3 linked regions of the Astyanax mexicanus genome follow. The protein of the gene in region 1 purifies or fractionates together with the protein of each later gene. This does not show direct contact. Links are inferred from orthologs where the notes say so. Each region holds a gene or a part of one and is shown in the gene's direction. Other genes may lie near its edges. The genes, in order: map2k1, lamtor3 and map3k1.

Region 1 (7,975 bases):
CTCCCACACTGCCAAAAGTACTCATCCTGTGCAACAGAGGTAACTCCTGGCTTTTTTTTTTGATGCATTGCTGACACAGATGTGCAAACACACATGTATCAGTGAAAAGGAGCGGTGCATTTGGGTGCACTTTGAGAACTAGTGGACACAGATATCTGATTTTCAAGTAAATATCACTACCCAGACTATCACTAAAATAGTATATGTATATAAAACAATATTAGCTATAGTATTGAAAGAATGACCTCTGTAAACGTACCTCAGAATGTATTACAGTCATTTACCCACCATGGGCAATACAGGTAGGGGCTTTATATTCCCTGTTTTCGAACTACACAAAGCTGATACACTAGCCTTGTAAGAAGAGATATCAAGTCAAAATTCAACCCACAGAGATCACTGATGCAATATCAAATGCTGTGCTAAAACCAATAAAATGTAGCTATGTAGCGTTACATAAAGGTTCTTTGCATTCAACAGTACAATAAATATATAATTGAATCTCAACCACCTAGGGATGTATGATCATGTCTAAATGATATCAATCATTATCAACAAACACATTTTCAAAAATGTATCTGCATCTCTATTTTATAAATATTTATGCATCAGAATCAATTAGTATCTGCACTAGCACCTGTGTGTCAAAGTGTGTATAGGAGAAGCATAATCCTTCTTAAGCCACATTGTTTCTGCACTTATTGACTATGAAAATCTTTTTTGCATGCAATGATTGACACTTAAAGGGAAAATCAGAATAAAAAGTAGGCCTAGTGATGCTTCTGTATTGATTTTTTTCCTCTATGCTACAGTAGAAATCACCCAGTAATCTGTAAACCACCTCTCAAATAAGGGGGTTATTATTTATTTACATACACTGATCAAGCATAACTTTAACACCACCTGTCTAATACTGTGTAGGTCATGCTTCTGGCACCAGAACACCTATGACCAGTAAAGGACTCCACAAGGCCTATGAGGATGTCCTGTGGTATCTGGTACCCAGATATTAGCAGGAGATCATTTAAATCCAGTTTAAATCCAGCTGCAAGGTTAGACCTCCATAGATCACATCAGTCTTATGCAATCAAGACTCTGTTACCAGTTCATTGAATGACCTTCCTATAAGCACTTGTCTGTACTGTTGTGGAAATACTCTTGCCCATCCATCTGGCCATCATAATTTCCATCTTGTCAAGGTTGCTGAGATACTTCAATTTCAAGAACTGATGGTTCACTTGCTATCTAATACAGGGTTTCTCAACCTGTGGGCAGAGGACAACCAGTGGGCTATGAAACACTCTCTAGTGGCCTGCAGGTCTATACTCAGGGGGAGACAGTAGTTCTTAGTAAGCCAGTGACAGCAATTTTAATCATAAAAAGTATTTTTTGGATAAAATCATTTAGTATACATATAAAACCAAGAGCCATAAGGAACATTAAACATCATTAATTTGAGGCAGTGTGTGAACCTGATTTAGACATGATTTTTTTTTTTACATGATAAAAAATATGTTTTCTTGTGTGTCGTTATGCCATAACATTATTACCAGATAGTCCACTCTTAGAAAAGGTCTAATATAAACTGATATGCCAAATATCATGGCATACCAGTATGTAAATTGATCACAATGTGTTACCTCATTTAGCAGCTTGGGAACACCTACACCTGTATAAGTTGTGAGGTGTTATCTGAGAAGTAAAGTTAAACCCCGCCAGCATGCTCATGGCAAGGTGATGTGAATTATATATTCACATCTGAGGGAACTCTGATAACGATGTGTGTACCAGGAATATGTCATAAGAGGCATTCTCACCCACAGTGGACAGCGCAGTGGTGGTAATGATTGTGACCCGCAGTGTCTGGCTATAATTTTCCAAGTGAACAACTAAGGCTAACATCCATCACATCCACATTCAATGCAGGAGGCTGAATACATACAGTATATTCCATACATCCGTGCAGCATTCTTTAGTTCCTACTGAACATGACAAAACACATGGAACACAGCATTTGTTCCTGTCCCATGACATATGGTTCATCTTTTGTAAGGTGCCACTGTAAGCAGATAATCATATAATTGTATTCACTTCACCAGTCAGTGCTTTTAACGTTATTAAGCCTATTAGTCTATCTGCAAATGCAGATCCTGATACCTTAATTGACCTTTCAATTGAACAACATAACCATGGCATTTGATTGGTCAGTGTCCAAATACAGATAAATGAGGATAAAGCATTGTTGGGCTGCTTTGAGGAAACAATGAGTAAAAAGGCCTATTATCTATTCTTCCACTTAACATGTGATGAATAAATGCAAGCAAATGCTGTGCCATACTGCCAACGTGCGTGCCAGGGCCTTGCACATCCATAAAAAAAGCTTCATTATGCACATCTGCTGCACAAACCTGCCTGCACAACACCGCCAATGCAGAAACACTGATCCAATCCTGAACTTCCTTTAAAACATCGCTCACTCAGACAAGAACAAGAGCTACCTTTCATAAAACACAGGCTCATATTAGTCTATAAACAACATGTGTTTGCTCACATGATGCATCATTAATCTGACAGCATCTCATTTGTATAAGATCAGATGCATCTCAGTGGGATAGTGCTTGTGTCTGTCTATGCAAATCCAGCAATTATCCAACTCTGCTCCCAGTGGCACCATGCGGTGGGGGGTTCTCACAATCTGCTGAGTAAACCTTTCTCCTCTGTAGGACTGTCCAGCAACTTTTAACTGATATATTAAACTTGCACCAGTACTGACACTGCAGTGATATAGTGTTGCTTTATGTGAATCATTTCAGACAGCTAGCATCTCTTTTAGGCCTACCATCATATGTGAACAGAGTTTTTCAGTGATTAATGACTTTGAGCTGGCATTTATAAGAAATGCCGTTCCACATGACACCCGCAGAAGTTGTATGAAACCATCGCACAGGTGATCCAACTACTTAGTGGGTCCCGTCGGTAGGAGTCATGTTTGTGTATGTGACTGCCATAGACATCAGTACATTTAACTCACCACTGATGCCATCACAGGATTGTCACACAAGCAGCTGCCTTTTGCTGCTTTAAGCAGGAATCGAACCCACAACCTACTGGTTCAGAGTCCCCAGCCTTACACACTATGCCACCAGAAACATGTGAGAGAAGCACCAGTAGAACAGCAGGCCATTAAACACCCTATTAACACATACTTAAGTATGTAGAGATGGAATTCTCATTAGCATCAATGAAGAGATATTTATTATACAGTAAATGCCTTCTTTAAAATACTTCTGAAATGATAGATACAAACTCTGTAAGCTGATAGGTGTGACCTGGTATAGATAGTTAAATATAATTATTTGTGTAATTTGTCCCAAACATTAAAGGAATGGTTCACAAAGAAATCTAATTTACATAACTTTCTGTTTATAGTACCAGTCAAAAGTTTAGATACGCCTTCTCTCTCAAAGTTTTGCTTTATTTCTGTTTTTTTTTTGTTGTTTTTGTTTTTTTCTACATTGTAGATTAGAATTAAATGCAGGACAATAATTAAGGGACACAAATAAAGTTACACAGTTAAGAAAAAAGTGTTTGGCCTCCACAATCCTCTGATCTAAACCAACTGAGATGGGAGATTTAGTTGAGCTGGACCACAGTGTGAGACAAAAACAGCAGAATCTAAAGTACAGAACATTCTCTGGTTTGTTTTCCATGTTTTTGTGTTTTAAGTTACTGTATAGCTTTAATTTCTTTAATATGAGATTTAAAATGTAAAAAAAAAAAATAAGAAAACACATTAAATGAGAAGAATTGTGTTTAAATTTTTGACTGAAACTGTACATCATAGTTAATCAGCCATAAGGTGTATGAAGATTGCTTCTTTATACAACATTCTTCTTATTTTTTCATCACTGGAACATCATTTAGGTCTAAAATGATTAAAATGTGCAGGATGTTTTTGGGGAAAATTGCCCAAAATGATTTTTTATTTATACATAAATTATACATGTGATGCAAATCACAATAAAGTCTCCTGTAATTGTATATTTTTTACTGGACTTTACATTACTATTGAAATCCTTTAGAACTACTAAGAATAAGAAATGTCTAAAAACTGTAATATTTTCTGAGGAGCTTTTTAAAGTTTTTTTAGTTCTTTATCTTTAGGATTCTTTCTTTCTTTCTTTTTTCTTTCTTTCTTTCTTTCTTTCTTTTCTCTCTAATGCACATTTTCATGCTGTATTCTATTGTGGTTTCTTTGTATTAACTTGAAACTGTAAAGAATATTAATCCTTTCAGACACTGCATCAATTGCAATGGACATGGTGTGCTTTCTTTTTTCTTGTGTATTCTATTATCCTATTAATCTTCAGGATATACATTTATTAGCCAATCAAACAGCAGACTGCATTGGAATACTAAAATTCTGCCAACTGAAGTAAAGCAGGGTAGCATCCCAGCTAACGTGGCAGAGAAAACACAGTTGCTGCAATTTTTTACAGTTTAGAAATATACACACATCCACAATATCTACACACATTTGAATATATATATATATATATATATATATATATATATATATATATATATATATAAACGATATATATATATATATATATATATATAAACGATATAAAATACAAATATTATGTTTGATACATATTATATATTAGTTTATTATTTAGTGTATTGTTATTTTTAATTGAATCCTGTTTTTGAGTGCATAGCATTCTTTTATTTTTTTATCACTAGGTCTAAAAGGGTTAAAAAAAACCCAAAAGTTAAAAAGGAGATATTTGTGCTAGTTTTTTCTTCCAGCAGGTGGAGACATTGCCCAGCATTAAGCCACGCTCTCCGGAAGACAGATGTAAATATTTTCGTGACGCAACCAGCCCATCTCCACAGTCATATATCCACCCATATCAGTGCGGTATTGGTGTATATTGTGTTTCTGTCTGTACAGGGGGCTGAGCAGTGCTGTGCTAGTCGCCGAGGAGAGCGCGTGCCTGTTTTAATAGTCTACTTTATTTATCTCGTGTTGTCGTGTTTGTGTGCATTTTTCTCAGACAGCCACTGGGTGTGATTAGCTGTATATATACCCTATGCATCAGACCGCTCTCTCTACAGCAGCACGCGGGTATTTCTGCGGATCAGCCTTCTTCCCTTGATTTATTTCTGATTGCTAAACTGCAAGACATCAAGAGTCGTAATGCAGAAACGAAGGAAGCCAGAACCGATCCAGCTCAACCCAATTCCTGATGGGAACGCCGTTAACGGAACCGGTGCCTCGGAGTGAGTATGGTCTGGTCTGGTTCAGAAGCTTAACCCTAACAGGAAAACCAACTAAATGATGCTCCTTCAGTAAGATACATGGTTTAATACTATAATTACTGGGGATGACACTGGCTGATCATCAGGCTGTGTTATACAATACAGTGGTATTCTGTGTAGTGGAAAAGGAACAATACTGTTTCATACTCTTCTGTTTTGATCATAGGCTCATATTGTTTTTCTCTTTTTAAAAAAGTTATAAAAGGTTTTATAATAATGCTTATTTCCTCTGAGAAAGTGTAAATACAGTGTATATTTAAAAGCCTTGCAAGCTAGACAGCTAGGCTTTAAGGACACTAGGACAGTGTTATGAAAACACTTTCATTGTTATATTCTTTTACTAAAAGGCCTGCCAATGCAGTACTGTTTTAGACTGTGTACCTGGCACTTTAAAAATGACAATTTAAAAATGGTGCATCAAACTGCAGTAAACAAACGAGACAACATAAGCAATGGGTATTTTAAAGTGAATTAATGAAAGTTCAGGTTAGCTCAGAGTTAGAGTATCAGAAATGCTTGTTGGCACACAAATAGGAACTATTTCTTTCTTTGTTCATGTGTTTACAATGACAGCCACACATAATTGCATCAGTATTTACAGACACTTTCAAAATACACAGTAGTTATTGTGATACTCATAATTGCAGACAATGACTAAAAATCAGTAATTGCAGAATCTTAAAAAAAACATGATTTTAAATTTTCTCAAATGCGTTTTACAACCACTAAGGATATCCTCAATATACTCTATATTGTGAAAGTACATAATGTATAAGGATAAAAAGAAAGAATACACACAACTTGGTGACTGTCTGGCAAATAAAACTAGGAGTGAATAGGAGAAAGGGATGAGAAACAAACAACAAATAAACAAGTGCTTCCGTTCTGTTGGATATGATATATGGTGAAACCCTAGGAGTGAAATAATAGTAAGACGAAGAATAAAACTGTAAATAAGGTTATATATACAGATAATATATACAGTGTTGAACCAATGCACACAGTGCTCATTCATGTCCAAATAGACTTAAGAGCAAATTGATTGGGAATAAGTTGTTGTTGTTGCATAATTTTACTAAGAATCAGATGACATCCCTAAAAACAGAAGGGGGAGGTTTGCTCTCCACACAGAGAGCCCTTATCACAGTGGGCCAGAGTGGCCAACACACAGTAATGATTCCTCCATCAAATAACCTGTCCAGTCTTTCTCGCCCCCTCACAGCCATAAGTTAGGTAAACAGATTTTGTTTCTAGTTGTTTCCATGTGAGCGTGACTGTGTGTAGTGATAGGAAAGCACGGCTCAATCTATCATTAGGTAATATGAGGGCAGAGGATGTCCAGAACCTTAGGAACCCAAGTCTTAAGAACTCCGGGAACAAATGGAGAGGCTGATCGGTTTTGACAGCATGCTCCACTTCTTGAAGCTTGAGTGCAATCGTCTCATTTCACGTTGTTAAGCAATCACGGTGGATCATTTACAGCAGCAGCAGCTATCACCATTAACAAACAAAGCCCTGCTCCCAGTGCCCGGTGCTGGCCTCTTTGTTTAGAGGCTGTCTGGAGATGCTGAGGGCTGCCGTGTCTGTCTGCAGCTTCATGTGGCAGGCCTGTGGTCCTGTTCCTCTCTCTCTCTCTCTGAGCCAAGAGCCAATCACAGCGCTGGCGGCCTGGACTCAGTGGTCCGTGTCATTGCCTCTTGTTTCACCGGCGCTCCGGGGCCCAGACACTTCTCTTTCACTCTTATGCTTTGGCCTTGAGAGACCATTACTGATTCAGAGGTGCGGGAAGAGGTACAGAGGCGTTCTATTTTACACATGGCACTGCATTGATTCAAGCCTCTTTTCAAAGTGTTGGAAATGATTGTGTAGGAGGACATAATGTTTCAGCTGACTTTATTTTCTCCTACTGCAGTACAGTATGTTCACAGATTGTAGACTAGTGGTTACAGGTTACACAATCAGGTTATGCCAGTTCTTTTGGCAACTCAAAATATATTTAGTGAAAGTTTTGCACAATTCAGTTATAAAGACGTCATCATATGAGCCATTCAGAGAGGTAGATTATATACTTTATCCTTTTCCACACTCTTCTTCAGTGGTCAGGACCCAGTCCCACAGGACCACCACAAAGCAGTGGTCATTTGGGTGGTGGGTCATTCTTAGCACTGTAGTGACACTGACATGGTGCTGGTATGAGTGGATAAGGCACAGTTGTGCTGCTGGGCTGAAAATAGTCAATATTCCACAAATATCCAACCAAGAGTGTCTTGTGGGCCGTTAAGAAGGACTGTTTTTACACAGTGATAAAAACTTCCAGCAGCACTGACGGTGCTGAACTGCTCTTCTACTATAACAACAGACTGCTTGGGTTGCCTACAGAGCTATAAGTCTAATAGTAAAAAAGCTTTATTTATTTATATGATATATCAGGTTCTTAAAGAGCTCTTCCCCTTGTAACTCAGTGGAAGGGGTCCAATTAGAAAAGGGATTGGGCCAAAGGGTTTGCTCTTCTCTGTACCTGAGGAACACTGTCTAAGTTCAAAATCCCCAAAGAGACAACACACTTTCTGCTGGCTTTAAGTGAAGTATTAGCATCTTTATATGAAACAGTAGGGACTCTGAATGGTGTAGGTGACTTAGGGACAAT
Region 2 (7,205 bases), on another chromosome or scaffold:
GTTAAATGACCACATCATTTCAGAAGTGGAATGTCCGATTTATATGGTACTCACTATTAGGTCTCATTTGAAAATTCAGGTCGCCTTGCCATGATCAGATGAGATAACACCTCACCACTCATACAGGTGTGGCTGTCCCATGAGGTAACATATCATGATCAATTTACCTATTGCTATCCCAATACTTTTGACATGGCATTATTAATCTGTAGATATTTTTGACTATCAAAAACTGTTATATTCTTTGGACAAACTATAAATGATTTAGAAATAATTCAATAGCTACTAATAACACAAATCAGTTACTTTATGCTGCTTCCAGACTGAGCAAAGTTGTAAGTGGATCAATAAGGAGTGTAAATGACGAGAGAAAGAAACTAAAATAAAAGCCTACTTACAGACTCTAAATATTTATATACAGTAGAATTTAGAAGACTTACATATAAAAAACAGTACACCAGACCCAAAAATGCCCCACACATTAATTCTGTTGCTGTTTCTTGCAGTTTTTGCTCATTCTAACACATAGTAAAAGTAATACAGATTTCTTTTGTTTTTGCTTTTTGGTCAAACTGATATTTTTCCGATTACCCAACAAACTATAATATCAGACAAACATGACCTGAGTAAATATAAAAGCACTTTTTAAATAATCATTTTATTTATTTAAAAAAAAACTATCCAAACTAATCTAGCCCTGTGTGAAGTAAGTATTTGCCCCTAAACCTAATAACGTGGTTATGCGCCCTTGGCTGCAACAACTGCAATTAGGCTCTACTGATAAATGGCAATAAGTCCTTCTTCAGTTTTTCTGAATTTTGGCCCATATTTCTTTACTGAATTGTTTTAATCAGCCACATCGGAGGATTTTCGAGCATGAACAGCCTGTTTAAGATTATGCTAATCAGACTTTGACTAGGCCACACCAAAACCTTCATATTGCTTTTTTGAAAGCCATTTAGAGGTGGACTTGTTTGTTTACTTTGGATCATTGTCCTGCTGCAGATCCCAAGTACGTTTGAGCTTGAGGTCACGAACAGATGGCCGGACATTCTCCTTCAGGATTGTGTGGTAATAAATGGAATCAATATTTTAGATTTACTCAGGTTATATTTGTCTGATATTAAAGTTTGTTTTGTCGTCTGAAAAATTTTAAGTATTGTATTGTAAGTAATGTTAGTAACCACTGCACGTGAAATATTACACACACATGAAAATACACAAATAAATACGAAAGGTTTACATAATTACTATTTACATGCAGTAATGAGGTATCCAGCGACGATGTTGTGCTCCGTTTGCGAGAAGGCACTTTTTCCACCATAGTTAACAGCCTCGGACGATGAGTTTAGCATTTCATGCCCCATTTCTTTCTCACACATATCCACACAAAACAAGCTCTGTGTCCCTCTGACATTCACTAGAGTCCGGCCTAAAACACACAGCACACAGCGGCATAGAGCAGCCTATCCCGTGCACAGCCCTTCCTCCTGCACTTGCAAAAAGAGAGAGTTTAGGAAACTCTGTGTATATGAGAGAGAGAGAGAGAGAGAGAGAGAGAGAGAGACAGAGAGAGACAGAGAGAGAGAGAGAACATGGGGGGCATGTTAAGTAGGCAGAGGTTTTGGGGGTTTATGCATTGTTAATATTGGTGGAGTGACTGTGGTCAGCTAGGTGAAGTTGAGGGGAGGATTAGGCTTTGCCTGGTTTGTGAACACTAAGGAACTCATTGTTTCAGGCATAATCCTCGCATGAGGGCTTTTCATTCTTAAAACATCAGATCGGCAGAGAGAGAGTGAACAACAAGATTCCAGCCTGAATGGAGAAAACTGTATAGTCTATATAGCTGTGAATATCACAAACAACAACACCACAAAACAATATTGACAGCTATAGAGCTACACAAAACAGTATACCACAAGTCTAAACTCTCTAAACAAATTTTTCAAGTCTTTCACAGACGTGGTGGTTTTAACAGTGTGAGAAAATGTTGCAGATTAGTCTTAAAGAGCTCACATCCAGTAAAACTTTCTGTGCCTTTGTTAATAATGTATAGCCTATAAAGAGCCCTGCGACAAGAGGGTGTAAAATTGCTTTCTTCCATGCCCTATAAAAAGGTTCTCAGTGGCTACATTTGGGTAATGTACCTCTTGGTGAGAGATAGCTGACTGCTAGAAAGGCCTCTGTAACACATTCAAATACATTTTGCACAACTGATATCCTTTGAGAAGGGATGCATCATTAGACTAAAATAATTGTGTAGATTAAATGCCCACCATTTAGGCCAATGCTTAGCCAGCCACCAATGCCTTTGTTTACAGTTGTTTTGTAAAAAAGGAGACCTCGACTGCTTAAGACTGGAACCATCTTTAGCAACAAATCCAGGTTTTGTTTAGGATCTGATGACAGTCAGACTCTTGATGAATCTGTACACCTCTATATCCAACCTTACTTGTTTTTGTATCATCTGTAAAGGCGGTCCAGATGGGTACTTGGGCATTCTGTCAATTGTAGTTTCCTACTATTAAATTACCCTTTTGCTCTAATATTAAAATAATTTACAAAATTACATTTACACATTAAAAATTTCATTCAGTTTCTAACAACTCTGCAGGAGAGTTTTTTTTCTGTTAGCGTTTAAGTTGTAAAATGAGCGTATAAAAATTTGTTAGACCAATTTTGGTACATAAAAACGCAAAAACGCAATGAATACGACCACTAAAACCACTGTGAAGATTGAAATACAAATTTTACAATAACCAATTTTGATCCTCTTAATGAACTTTGGCTCACTATTAAAAACTTCCAGAGTGGTTTATAATAAGAGAATTCATGATATTATGAAGATCTCATGTGATTAATGTGCATTTATTTATGATTGTTTCCCTTATGTTATTATAATGTTTTATCTCTAATTTTTTACAAAAAAATAAATCTGTCTGCCCATTATTTGTCATATTTCACTTAATTTTTAGAAAAGGGGAGCTGTCTTAATGCCAGCACAACAGAATAAATTCTATCTCTCTCTCCCCCCCTCTCTACCGTATTTTACTCCTCTTTCCCGCCGTCCTCCCGTATTAGTATTTTCCCGTAAATTTCCCGTATTTCATTAACATAAAAAAATATATATTATTGAGGATACAGGGCACTGGCCGCTCTGTGTCTCTTAACCAATCGTGGAGCCGGTTCAAGGAGAAAGTCCCGCCTTTCAGGAGAAACAGCCAATCAGCTTGCAAGGAGGGTCAGTGTGGGGAAGCCCCGCCCTCCTCGCTGTGAGTTCAGGCAGCTAGTTGGAGCTGCTGATGTTAAAACATACATGCAGCGATTTTTCTAAAAGAAAGGTAACGGTTGTCTAATCATGGAAACTGTGATGAGATTTTTCTGATAGCTGCTTAAAAATACTCCGAAATAAAACACACAGATTAAACCTTTTAAAATAAAAAAAATTACAGCTTGTGACTCAGTTTAACTAGAAATGTGGAGAGGACCGACATTAACTGAACTAATCAGGGGTGGAGTGATCAAAAGGAAGAAGTATTAATTAAAAATTATTGTGTAGGCCCCTTAGGACTAATTTTTACTGATGGAACATATCTGGTCCATGTCCTTTTAGTAAAAGCTCATAATACCATTTTTAGGTCACCAACAGTCATTTTGCAGAATTTGTGCACTCTTTGTTCAATTTTAAATCCATTAAATAAATAAAAAATATATCATATAAAAGAGTGCATTTATTACAAAAAAGACATGAAATCTTAAATAAAAAAAGATATAGAAAAGGGTTTTTAATTTGGCTGTATTAAAAGAATGACATATGTAGGAATGTCCACAACATGTTCAGATTCTGATAATCTAATTGTAGTGTGTAAGTGGTTCACATGTGGTTATTTTAGATTTTTTGTAAACATGTTTTAAAATGTAAGAGATACTGAACCTTCATTGGGCTGGTGGGACGGCTTTAAGCGGACAGAGGAAAATATCCCTTATTTTTAAATCTAAAACTTGACAGGTATGCTCTACCCCCTCTCTCCCCGTTCTCTCTCTCGGTCTCTCTCTCTCCAGCCCTCTCTCTCTCTCTCTCTCTCTCTCACACACTCTCTATGTCGCTATTATATGTACTATCCACTAGGGGGAAATCTGAGCTCACGGAGTGAACAGAGGCAGGTCGCAGGAAGGGAAGTGACGCTCAGGAAGGTGTACACAGTCTGGGTCATGTGATTAAAACTCTAAACAAGACACGGAGCCTCAGATCGGTGTGAATAAAGGTGAAGCTCTCAGACCCGTTTTAACCATTTACTTTAATACAGAAACATTTATTAACCTGTACGACTAACTGCGGAGCTGAACAAAGTTAGGGAAGTGCCCACAGCAGCAGCTAGCTTAGCTAAATACCTTAATTAACTCCAGTTAGCGCTATTAGCTGTCTAACCCACAGGAGCTGCTCTGTGTGATATTTGTTTTATTTCAGTTTTCTGTCAGTGTGGTATCAGTTAGCTAAGCTGTATTCCTGTACAGTTGTGTTACTGCTGAGCGTGTTGTTACAGGGATCACCGCGAGAAGGCTACTGGTAGCCAGCAATCTCCATCATGGCAGATGTGAGTGTTAAAATCAGTTCCTCATCTGATACTGTGTGTCTGAGGTCTAAACTAAACATAGGATTCTTATATGTAAAGTAATTTAGATAACGTTAACGTTAACATATCTGATTTATAATTGCAGGATTTGAAGAGATATTTATACAAGCAATTGCCAACGTGAGTACAGTTTTTTTCCAGATTGAACAAACTAAAATATCGTTACTGTCACGCAAATAAACTCAAGTTTTCACTCTGACATGAATCTGAATCTGACAGTTGGTTTAATCGGTGTTTCCGAATTTCATTATTAACAATAAGAGTGTGTTTTGGCAAGAAGTTGGAAATACAGGGGATACAATAAATGGATGTACTGTAAACTAGATAATACACCTCCTGTCAAAAGTTTGGACACACCTTTTCTCCTTCAGTGTGTTTTCTTTCTTTTTTTTTTCTTTTTTACATTGTAAATAAAATGTTTAAAGACCGAATCAAAGCTACACAGGAACACATGCAGAAATATTTTGCAAACAATAAAGTAAAAAAAAAAAAAAAAAAAGCAGAATATGTTTTATACGTATATGACAGATTTGCACTCTCTTGGTATTTTAATCTCAGTGGCGAGTCACCTGGAATAGTTTTTTGTTTACTAAATAGTTCCACATGTGTCCTGTATTTGTTTGCATGTTTTAATATGAATCTACAAGGTGGAAAAAAAAGTTAAGAAAAGAAATAAAGTAAAACATTAATTGAGAAGGTATGTCCAAACTTCTAACTGCTATTGTATATTATAAAAAAAGTATATATATATATATATGTATATATATATATATATATATATATTTGTTTTTGCTAATATTCAATCAGAACAGTGGAATCTAATAAAACATTATAGTACTGTTATCTAGATGGTGGGGTTTAAGCACAAGACTAAATTAACCATTGTCTGCCACCAATCTTTGTATCTACACTAATAATTAAAATTCAATACTTTGTTTTAGAAAATATCACAATACTGCAATATATAGAGTATTTTCTTACACCCCCAATGAACAGATCAATATTAATTTTCAAAAACTTGGAATAAACTTACAAAATACATATAAAAAATGTATTATGTTAATTCTATAGAAAGGATTTTTTTCCTCCAGATATTTGATGTTAATATTGAGTTTTGGTCTGACAGTAATGATATGTAGATTCTCAACATTTGTTTTTTTTTAAACTATTTTTAATGAGATTTTAAAGTTTAGTGGTAGAAAAATTTTTTATAGACCTATAACATTTAATTAAGTTAATAAAATGTTCCCTTTATAAGTATTTTTACAAGTATACCTTCTAAACTGAGGGGAAAATGTAAAAAAATGAGCAAATGGTTTGTCTCTAAATATTGTTCCACCATAAAACTTTGATGACACCATGTTTAAGTGCAGGTACACTATAATGTATGCAATAACTTTTTGTTTCTGATCAGGGTTGAGGGCCTCCATGCAATAGTAGTAACAGACAGAGATGGAGTTCCAGTAATCAAAGGTAATTAGTTTCAATAATGCTTTGTTAATAATGCTGAATATAGTGTCAAACTGCTGCTTGCATTAGGTCTGTAATAATTGTAGGTGTTCATCCTTTAAGTTGCCAATGACAATGCTCCGGAGTACGCTCTGCGGCCAGGCTTTCTCTCCACCTTTGCCCTGGCCACAGATCAGGGCAGCAAGCTGGGGCTGTCCAAAAACAAGAGCATCATCTGCTACTATAACACATATCAGGTATTCTGCTCCAAATACTTAACGTTGGGTTTCATTTGAAGTTCTTAATCTGTTTTTAAGATGCTAGTTGTTACTGGGTTGCTTAGTGATGTTTTAATTTTGTGTTTTCTTTTTTGTGTTTGTTTTTAGATTGTGCAGTTTAACCGATTACCCTTAGTGATCAGCTTCATTGCAAGTAGTAGTGCTAACACAGGTGAGTGTCTGTCAGAGGTGATCTTTAATGCTTATGACTTGTGAAGGAAATTCTAATTCTGAAGATGAAGATGTGACTTAAACAAGAGCTTTGTTGGCTGTTCATTGTTTTATGTAGCCTACAATACACACATGAACCAGAACATTCTGACCACATGCCAAATATGCTGTTGGGACACTTCATGGTGTCTGTGGAATCCGGCACCAGGATGTTAGTGTTATTCTGTAAGTCATGTGAATTGCAGGGTGGTGCCATGGCAGATTGGGGTTATTCCAGCTCATCCCACAAAAGCAAAAATCCTTCCACATTCTTCAGTTCTTGCAGGCTCTTTTAAAGAATTCTATACTTTATAAGCTTTATAAAAGCAAGAAATGTAATCATTTTAGCCTTGGGATTACTTAATATCAGGGCTGCACAATAAATATTGTTTCAGCATCTGTATTACAATGTAGGAATAGTTAGAGTTCACAGTGTATAATGTAATGAAACACAACGTTTTTGCTATTTGGAACAAGAGGAAAATTCACACTGTTCTGATATCCCATGAAATGTCAATGAAAGACAGATTGTCGTGCATAGCATTTGTTCGTTAATTGTGTCTTTCGTATTGTGAAGATGCAAAAAAAAAAAAAAAAAAAAAAACCTCATTGCACCGCTCAAAATGCCTAAAAG
Region 3 (7,494 bases), on another chromosome or scaffold:
TATAACTACGGAGTTTAGTGGACACACCACGGCTGCAAGGTTAGACTGTTGAAGGCTACTGAAGACTACTAAAGCAGGCAACGCAGCGTAAGCAAAAAAAAAAAAAAAAAAACACGCACACACACCAAAATACAAGTTAAGATAAAATATGAAAACGAACATAATAAAGCATAAATAATTACATTGAATTGCGGGCCAGATGTATGTTTATTTTGTTAACCCGTGAGGGGCCGTATGAAACCGCGTCGCGGGCCGCATGTGGCCCGCGGGCCGCTACTTTGAGACCCCTGATCTAGACTGTATCGAGATAGATTTTTGATAGTCTGGACAGCAAAAAAAAAAAAACATATTGAATCTTAATTTAAGCAAATCTTAAATCTAAAGGAGGTCTGAAATGTGATTACAATCAGATCTGTACAGATGCGTCTCAGTCTGAATGCTCTGGTTTCTCAAAAAGTACTTGTGAAAACAGTTCAAAAGAAAAATAAGACACTGTTGTATAATTATAGAAAATAGAATCACTGATCCGTGCTGAATATTCGTTTTGAACCCACTCCAGCATTTAATGTAAACTTGCCTACTTCAATTGACGTGATTCCACAAAAGCTCTGAACTCAGCTGAAGTTAAAAGTGGACGGCGCTGAGCTGAAGAGCTGAGGCGAGCTGAGATGACAGAAGAGAGAGCACAAATAGTTTGTGGAGCGTTCCACGTGAGCAGGAAATGCAGGAGCTGCAGAGGAAGCCCTACTGGCTAAGAATAGCTCTCAGTGATAGATTGGATCCACGTTGACAGGAAATGGTTTTTGCTGGCCGCCCAGTACCTAAAGCTCCAATGCAGCTCTTTTTAACTTTACCAGCTCTGGAAAACAAAGTGGAGATGCCTCGCTGGACATTTAAGGATAAAAGTACGCCTGAGAAAAACTGAGACTGAGACTGAAGTGACTGCAGGTGCCAAAATTTTATATTGTCAAAACAATATCTCCAATGTTTGCCAATTTTTCACTTTTTGTCATAACCTGCCAACCTGACATTATTCTTAATGCTGGGTGAAAAAATTATACTGAATGGGTCAAAAGAAATGCTCCAAACAGAGTTGGGCTCAGATTCTTTTACGCTGACTATTCTTGAAAGTTCATATTTTGGAGATACAAGATTATTACATAATGTAAAAAGGGTTTTTAGGAAAAGTAAGTTTGTTATAAAATTTTAATAGATAGTAATATTTCACATAGCACATTTTGGGACAGTTTTCCCAAAAAAAAAGTATTATTCTAAAACCTAGTCTTAGACTACACAGCCATTTCCAGTGGAGATTTACCAGTGAAAGAAAAAGAAAGTCTATGACTAGGTTTTAATCTCTGTGGAAAATAAAAACAATGTAAAAAGCACATTGCAGACAGCTGCTATTATATCCCTGATCATTTCAAATTATAACTTTCTGTTATCTAACTTTTAGAAGCTATGTGGATGGTGTGGTGCAGTGGATAACACCACCCCCTGTCAGTGAGCTACTACATTATGTGGGAGACTGGGGTTCAATTCATATACTGCTCTACACTAATAAGAGTCTTGGGGCAGACTACTAATGCTACATTGACCCACTTCTGTAATAGAAATAACCTTGTAAGTCACACTGGATGACAGCGTCAGCAAAATGCCGTAAATGTAGAAGCATTAAACTCTGCAGACATCTGTGGACAACTTTCTCTATAAAGAGACATTTTACCCCAAACCTCTTAGAATAACTTTGTCTTCATTTGTCATTTAATTCCAAAGAGATTTTAGAAACTGGTATAGTTCCCCTATCAAACTGGCTAAAATCAGATTACTACTAAAATAATATCTTGGCTCATTTTGTTCATATACTGTGCTGGTCCCCTAAGAGAAAACAGAGCTTAATGAATTATCTTTTTATAATAAAACTGTGATACGTAATCCCTCATTTGTCCACTAATAAAATAGGTTAATTCCTTTCAGATGCTAAAATCTGGTTTGTTTCTGGGGCACTAAAGGCCCTTACATAACCTGGAAGACGGAAACAACACAAAAGACAGATTTATTCAGAAGAACATGTAATTTGTAGGTTCACAAAGCCATCACTCTTCCCAGGCCACCGACTGGCCCAGAAAACCGGCACACAATGAACCACACACAGACACACAGCCAATAATTTCTCAGCTGTTATGAGGTAAAAGGAAATAATTAACTATGATGTTATTTTGATATGAAGGCATTAGCTTCACTTTTCAAACAGCCATGATGTGATGTTATGAATTTACCCATATTAGCTTTACCGTCCAATGTCAAGCAGCCACATTCACACCAGTGAGAGCTAGCTTAAAGGGTTTTAAAAGTAGGATTTTTTATAGATACAGATAAATCCATAATAAAAGTCACACAAACCTATTTCAAATTACATGCAAAGATTATATAGCATATTTTGTTAATAGATTTTACTTCTAAATCTTCTTTAATAACCCAAACCAGATAGCAACATTTTATTGAATGACATTTTTTCATTTCTAACATGAAAACAATGTTGATCTCCGACATCAGAATTTAATTATTATAATACATTAATTTGATGTTGACTTCAATTTGATTAAATTTAATATTATTTGTGTTAAACTTTACTTACATTAAATTAAAAGGAAATTGTTTTTGCTGGCCGCCCAGTAACACAAGCTCCAATGCAGCTCTTTTTAACTTTTTTCTTAAGTGAAGATGCCTTGCTGGAGGCATTTGTGAATAAAAGTTTGGCAGAGAGAAACTTATAGTGTAACACAAACCTGAGATTCAATTCACTGCAGGTGCCATGATTTGATATACAATTTTTATCAATTTTTGCCAATCTGACGTTATTCTTAGTGCTGTGTAAAAACTTCTTAAAAAATAAGTATTGTTTAATTTAGTATTGTTTGTATGAAACTTAACTCACATTAAATATATACTGCATATCTTCTTTGTATTATATTCTTATGGCCTTAACTGTGTTCTTGTAATGGAGATTTAAGTGTAGAAAAGGCCCAAACAATGAAAACCTTTTAGATGAACATTAATTACTCAACAATATAAATAAACTGTAAGTGAAATATTTGAGTGAAATAAAGGAGCTGGTGAATTTAAAGGCAGTGCTGCTAACTATTCAGTAGTGTTAAGTCAATGACAGTCCCCGTGTTGAATGAACGCTCCGCGTGAGAATGTGATAGTTCTCACGCTGATCCGACTCTGAACGAATCTTTTTAAACGATTCTTTTACCTAAATCAGTCGAACTAACTCCCAAATCAAGCAAACTTTAACCATAACATACACACAAGTCCTGTTCTATACGAAAAGCTTAAAATAATTCTTCAACAAAAAGCATTAATCACTTCAAAAACTTACAAAAATATCTAAATAATGATATACAACCCCATACACCAAAAAGACATTTTTAAATTATATCATATGACAAAATATTCATATATTAAACTTTTATCAGCAGCTTTTGCATAATTATTTTTATTTTTTATTTTTGGGGTATAACATCCACATTGTCTTATATGTTACACTACACTAGTTTTATTGCATTTTAAATGAAGATCACATGGTATCTACAGTATATAGTGTAGTTAGACAATAATACTAAAATTGGAAAACATGTTTGTTTAAAAGTTAATAAATAAAACAGAAGTCAATAGTGGTGGTACATTTAATGTTTTTTTTTATAGAATGATAGTTTTTATGTATTGCTTTGTAAATTGTAATTGAGTCAAAAAATAATAATAATCAAAAAACATAATCAAAAAGTAGTCATCAAAAATTGACTTTAATAATAATAATTATTATTATTATTATTATTATTATTATTATTGTTGTTATTATTAATATGGTTTGTTTGTTTGTTTAAAGTAGAAATCCGGTGTGAAATGGACTTGGGGTGTAGTGAAATGTGATAACGAATACTATTTTTAAATTTTTTTTTGGCCCGCCACCACCCCTCTCACTTTATTTCACTCTGCAACAATGCATTATTCTTAAGGGAGGACATATATTAATATAGAGAGAGAAGGAAAAAGGGAGAAAAAAAATCAATAGCCCTCCTTCGTCACCCACAGCATTTCCAACAGCCTTACAATGATAGTGATAGGGACACGGTTTCCGTGGAAAAGTACAAAATAATAAAAGTATATATATAAATAAAATTTAAAAAGCTAGTTGCAGCCTTGCAAATAGTAACAAGTCTTTTCAGAGTCTTTTCAAAGCCATATAGTGTATGGTCAGCATTAGAAGTTTACTTTGTAAACTGGGCAATTGTTGGGAATCGGTTCGTTAAATATAAGTGAACCTGCTCCTGTCAGTTTAGTTGCAGGTGAGTTGGAGTGATTCGATTCACTCTGAGGAGTCGGTTCGCTCGGATGAATCGAACTCTCCATCACTATGTAAACAGAGCGGAGTGCCTGCCCTCGCTCCGCCCCGCTTCCCGCGTGCCCCCCCTCCCCTCTCTCCACTCACTCACCACACAAACCTATTAAGTGGCAAAATTCAGCACAGAAAATGGCGACGGCGGGGAGCCGGACCTCGTCGTCAGGACCGTTGGACTCGAGCGGCGGTTTAGACGCGGGGAACTCTCCGCGTGGAAGCTCCAGCGTGCCCGGTCTCCCGAGCGGTGCCGCCGGCAAGGCGAAGCGAAGCGCGGCGGAGAGTTCGCAATGGAGACGTAAAGAACTGCGGAAAGTGCGGAGCGTGGATCTGGACGGGTCCGAGTCGCTGCTGCTGGCTTCCGAGAGCGGGGCAGCTCCCTCAGCCGCGGCGGCGCAGCTCCACTTCTTATCCGCGTCCTCTCCCGGCGCAGTGCAGGCGACTCTCCTGCAGCAGAGCCACCGCGTCCAGCACAGCAGCAGCAGCTCCCTGACTGAACACCCGCTCCTCGATAAGCAGAGCAGCGGCGGCAGTCTGGCCGCAGCCGCGCAGGAATTGCTTAAAACTTCTTTCAGAAGCAGCAGCGACCAACTCTGCGCTGATAATGCTGCAGCCGGAGCTCCAGGAGAACTGAACCAGCAGAGGTAAGAAAGATTCAAGGCTGATAATGAGCATTTTTGGGGCTGATAAGGAGATTTTTTACTCCAGTACTGTCTCTCTGCCGCTGCGATTCACCTGGATAATGTGTCTGTAAAACTTGTATAAACTGTAAAGTAGCTCTAAGAAGTTCTCAGAAACTCCAGCTCGTTGTTCTACTGAAGTCAGACTCTGAGTTCGAAACTGGGGCTGAACAATCTGTATGATATGTGATCGATATTAGTCCTGTCACGATAAGATTATTATGTGGACGATATATCGTCCCAGAAACTTTTGCCTTATTTTATATATTTGCCATTTAAGAACATTTAATACTGCAGACATAACCATAAATCAAAATTTAAAGCAATTACACACTTTTTCTAAGTTGGCAGAAATTAAATTAATTATAGTTTATTAAAAATGCAGCTCTGGAAAAAATGGAAAAGAGACCACTTTAGTTTGGCTTGTGATCATCCATCTTCTTCTTAATTCCTTTTCAATTTGGTAAAATCAAAGAAACTTATGATTTAAGTTGTCTCTTATTTTTCTCCAGACCTGTATATACTTTTTTTCTTCACCTTCTGCAGCCTGCCCACACTGTGTGTATGGAGTTGTAGTTATGGAAGCATTGGTCTTGTATATCATGCCTGTCTAAAATACTGTTCATTTTATATATGTGAACAAACATACAAATAAACAGCTAAATAAACATATGTTAATTTCCATTTGTTGTACAATAAGTCGATAATGTACTTATCGTGGCAGGCCTAGACGATATTGATCTTTCATCACTGTGTACTTTTCTGAGCATCCTGTAGATATAGCTGTGATATAAGTGTTGGTACAGAGTTTTAATTACAAATCCTCTCTTATTGCACCGTGATTTGGGGTGTGTGATGTATCACCCTAAACTAATATCACAATATTTCTGTTTTTGTGATAACAATATTTTTTGATACTACAAAATACTACTCCAACAAAATAAATGTATATAAATAAATGCATAAATAAATTTTAACATAAAAATAATGTAATGTAGCCAAAAAACTGTACCAAAATACTAAGTGCAGTTATACAAAAAGTACCCTTTAAGCTTAACAGTCAATAAAAGACTGCTTGAATTACAATATTGACAAACTATCATCAGTGTTTGTCAGATCAGTACTGTTTAATTGGTTTGGGTACAGCACGTTTTGATTTAGGATAACAATTTTCAAAAGCAGTTGCTGAGAATCTGCCTCATGTATTTTTGTCTGTGTCAAAATATCACAGCAAATATTGTGATTATAATATTCATATTTATCTAGCTGCATCTCATTTGTTTTTATGTTCGGTTTGATGCTCATCCAAAGTGTCCTATTAATTATTAATCCATAGCATAATTTATTGCAGAACTAATGCTGTTTTCCCATCATATGAAATTAGACCTATTTATTAGAATACTACTCATATGCATATTATGGAGCATTATTGATCTGCATTTCTTTTACATATTGTATTTGCTGCATGGGTTGTATTGACGTGGTTGGGTGTTATACTTTTCTCTTTTTCAGTTTTTATTTTGTACCATAAAACTGGGTTGTTTTTTGCTGAGCATCCTGCTCCAATCAGAATCACTAAATCCGTGTCGCCCACCTGCTGAGGTGGGCCCCCAGATGTTATCAGCTTAGTAGAGTTGCGCAGTTTTTGATGTGAGGGGTGAACAGCTTTAAATCTTTCTGATCTGTCTCCCAATATTAAACCACAAAGATGAGGATAATATCATCCAAACATGCATTTATGTGTTTAAGCATTAAAAGCCTTTAATTTATCAGACTGGACGGCTTTGATTTACATTAGCAGCGATTTCGGTGTTTCGTGGTTCAGCTTTGGTAGGCACTCCAATGTTGCATTTAATTCAGGAATCGTTTTACTGCTGTAAGTATAGGCCTGTGTATTACTCTGTCGTGGCTGGAGGTCTGCTTTTTACGTCCATTAAGTTACATTGAATATGATAAATATATATTGCCCTATTAGAATTGCCCAGGTGATCCAGCAGGAGTGCTTAAGACAATATTAACTCTGGCACAGCCTACACAATGGCTCTTAAACTAAACCCAACACTTCTCCAGACCATGTGTATATGTACTCTGTCACTTTTCCCATAAACAAACTTGCCTTAATATGACCTTGGGTTGTTTCCTAGACAGGAATTGAACCTAGTCCTGGACCACATATCTATTTTAATAAAGAATATTCTCATTCACAATGCCAAGCCATAAAAAAAGCCACAAAAATGAGATTTGTGGTTTGATCAGTGTTTTTTTTCCCCCCATCTTTAATTGTTATCCACTTCAGCACAACACAAAGTGATGCAGGCACCTTATTTTCACTGTTGGGAGCTTGTTTACTCAAGGTTGCCTAAATGATTGCCCCCCTGCTGGCTTTTTCCCTTAAAAGGAAAAGCTGATGGT

Evidence for each region.
Region 2: the proteins of map2k1 (region 1) and lamtor3 purify together in Homo sapiens (affinity purification with western blotting; 3 studies listed by BioGRID, with this or other methods). This does not show direct contact. The link is inferred for Astyanax mexicanus from reciprocal best matches to the Homo sapiens genes MAP2K1 and LAMTOR3.
Region 3: the proteins of map2k1 (region 1) and map3k1 purify together in Homo sapiens (affinity purification with western blotting; 3 studies listed by BioGRID and IntAct, with this or other methods). This does not show direct contact. The link is inferred for Astyanax mexicanus from reciprocal best matches to the Homo sapiens genes MAP2K1 and MAP3K1.

The regions. Positions count from the first base shown.
Region 1 is NC_064416.1:23,842,465-23,850,439, forward strand, and holds the start of map2k1 (dual specificity mitogen-activated protein kinase kinase 1), read left to right. Parts: upstream 1-4,904; 5' UTR 4,905-5,206; coding exon 5,207-5,289; intron 5,290-7,975. UniProt on the Homo sapiens protein: Dual specificity protein kinase which acts as an essential component of the MAP kinase signal transduction pathway.
Region 2 is NC_064414.1:25,420,751-25,427,955, reverse strand, and holds the start of lamtor3 (ragulator complex protein LAMTOR3), read left to right. Parts: upstream 1-4,129; 5' UTR 4,130-4,265; intron 4,266-4,544; 5' UTR 4,545-4,586; coding exon 4,587-4,595; intron 4,596-4,719; coding exon 4,720-4,754; intron 4,755-6,048; coding exon 6,049-6,107; intron 6,108-6,206; coding exon 6,207-6,340; intron 6,341-6,469; coding exon 6,470-6,533; intron 6,534-7,205. Other genes in the region: rrh (visual pigment-like receptor peropsin), read right to left, coding at 1,259-1,382. UniProt on the Homo sapiens protein: As part of the Ragulator complex it is involved in amino acid sensing and activation of mTORC1, a signaling complex promoting cell growth in response to growth factors, energy levels, and amino acids.
Region 3 is NC_064427.1:27,156,025-27,163,518, reverse strand, and holds the start of map3k1 (mitogen-activated protein kinase kinase kinase 1), read left to right. Parts: upstream 1-4,493; 5' UTR 4,494-4,537; coding exon 4,538-5,046; intron 5,047-7,494. UniProt on the Homo sapiens protein: Component of a protein kinase signal transduction cascade. Activates the ERK and JNK kinase pathways by phosphorylation of MAP2K1 and MAP2K4. May phosphorylate the MAPK8/JNK1 kinase.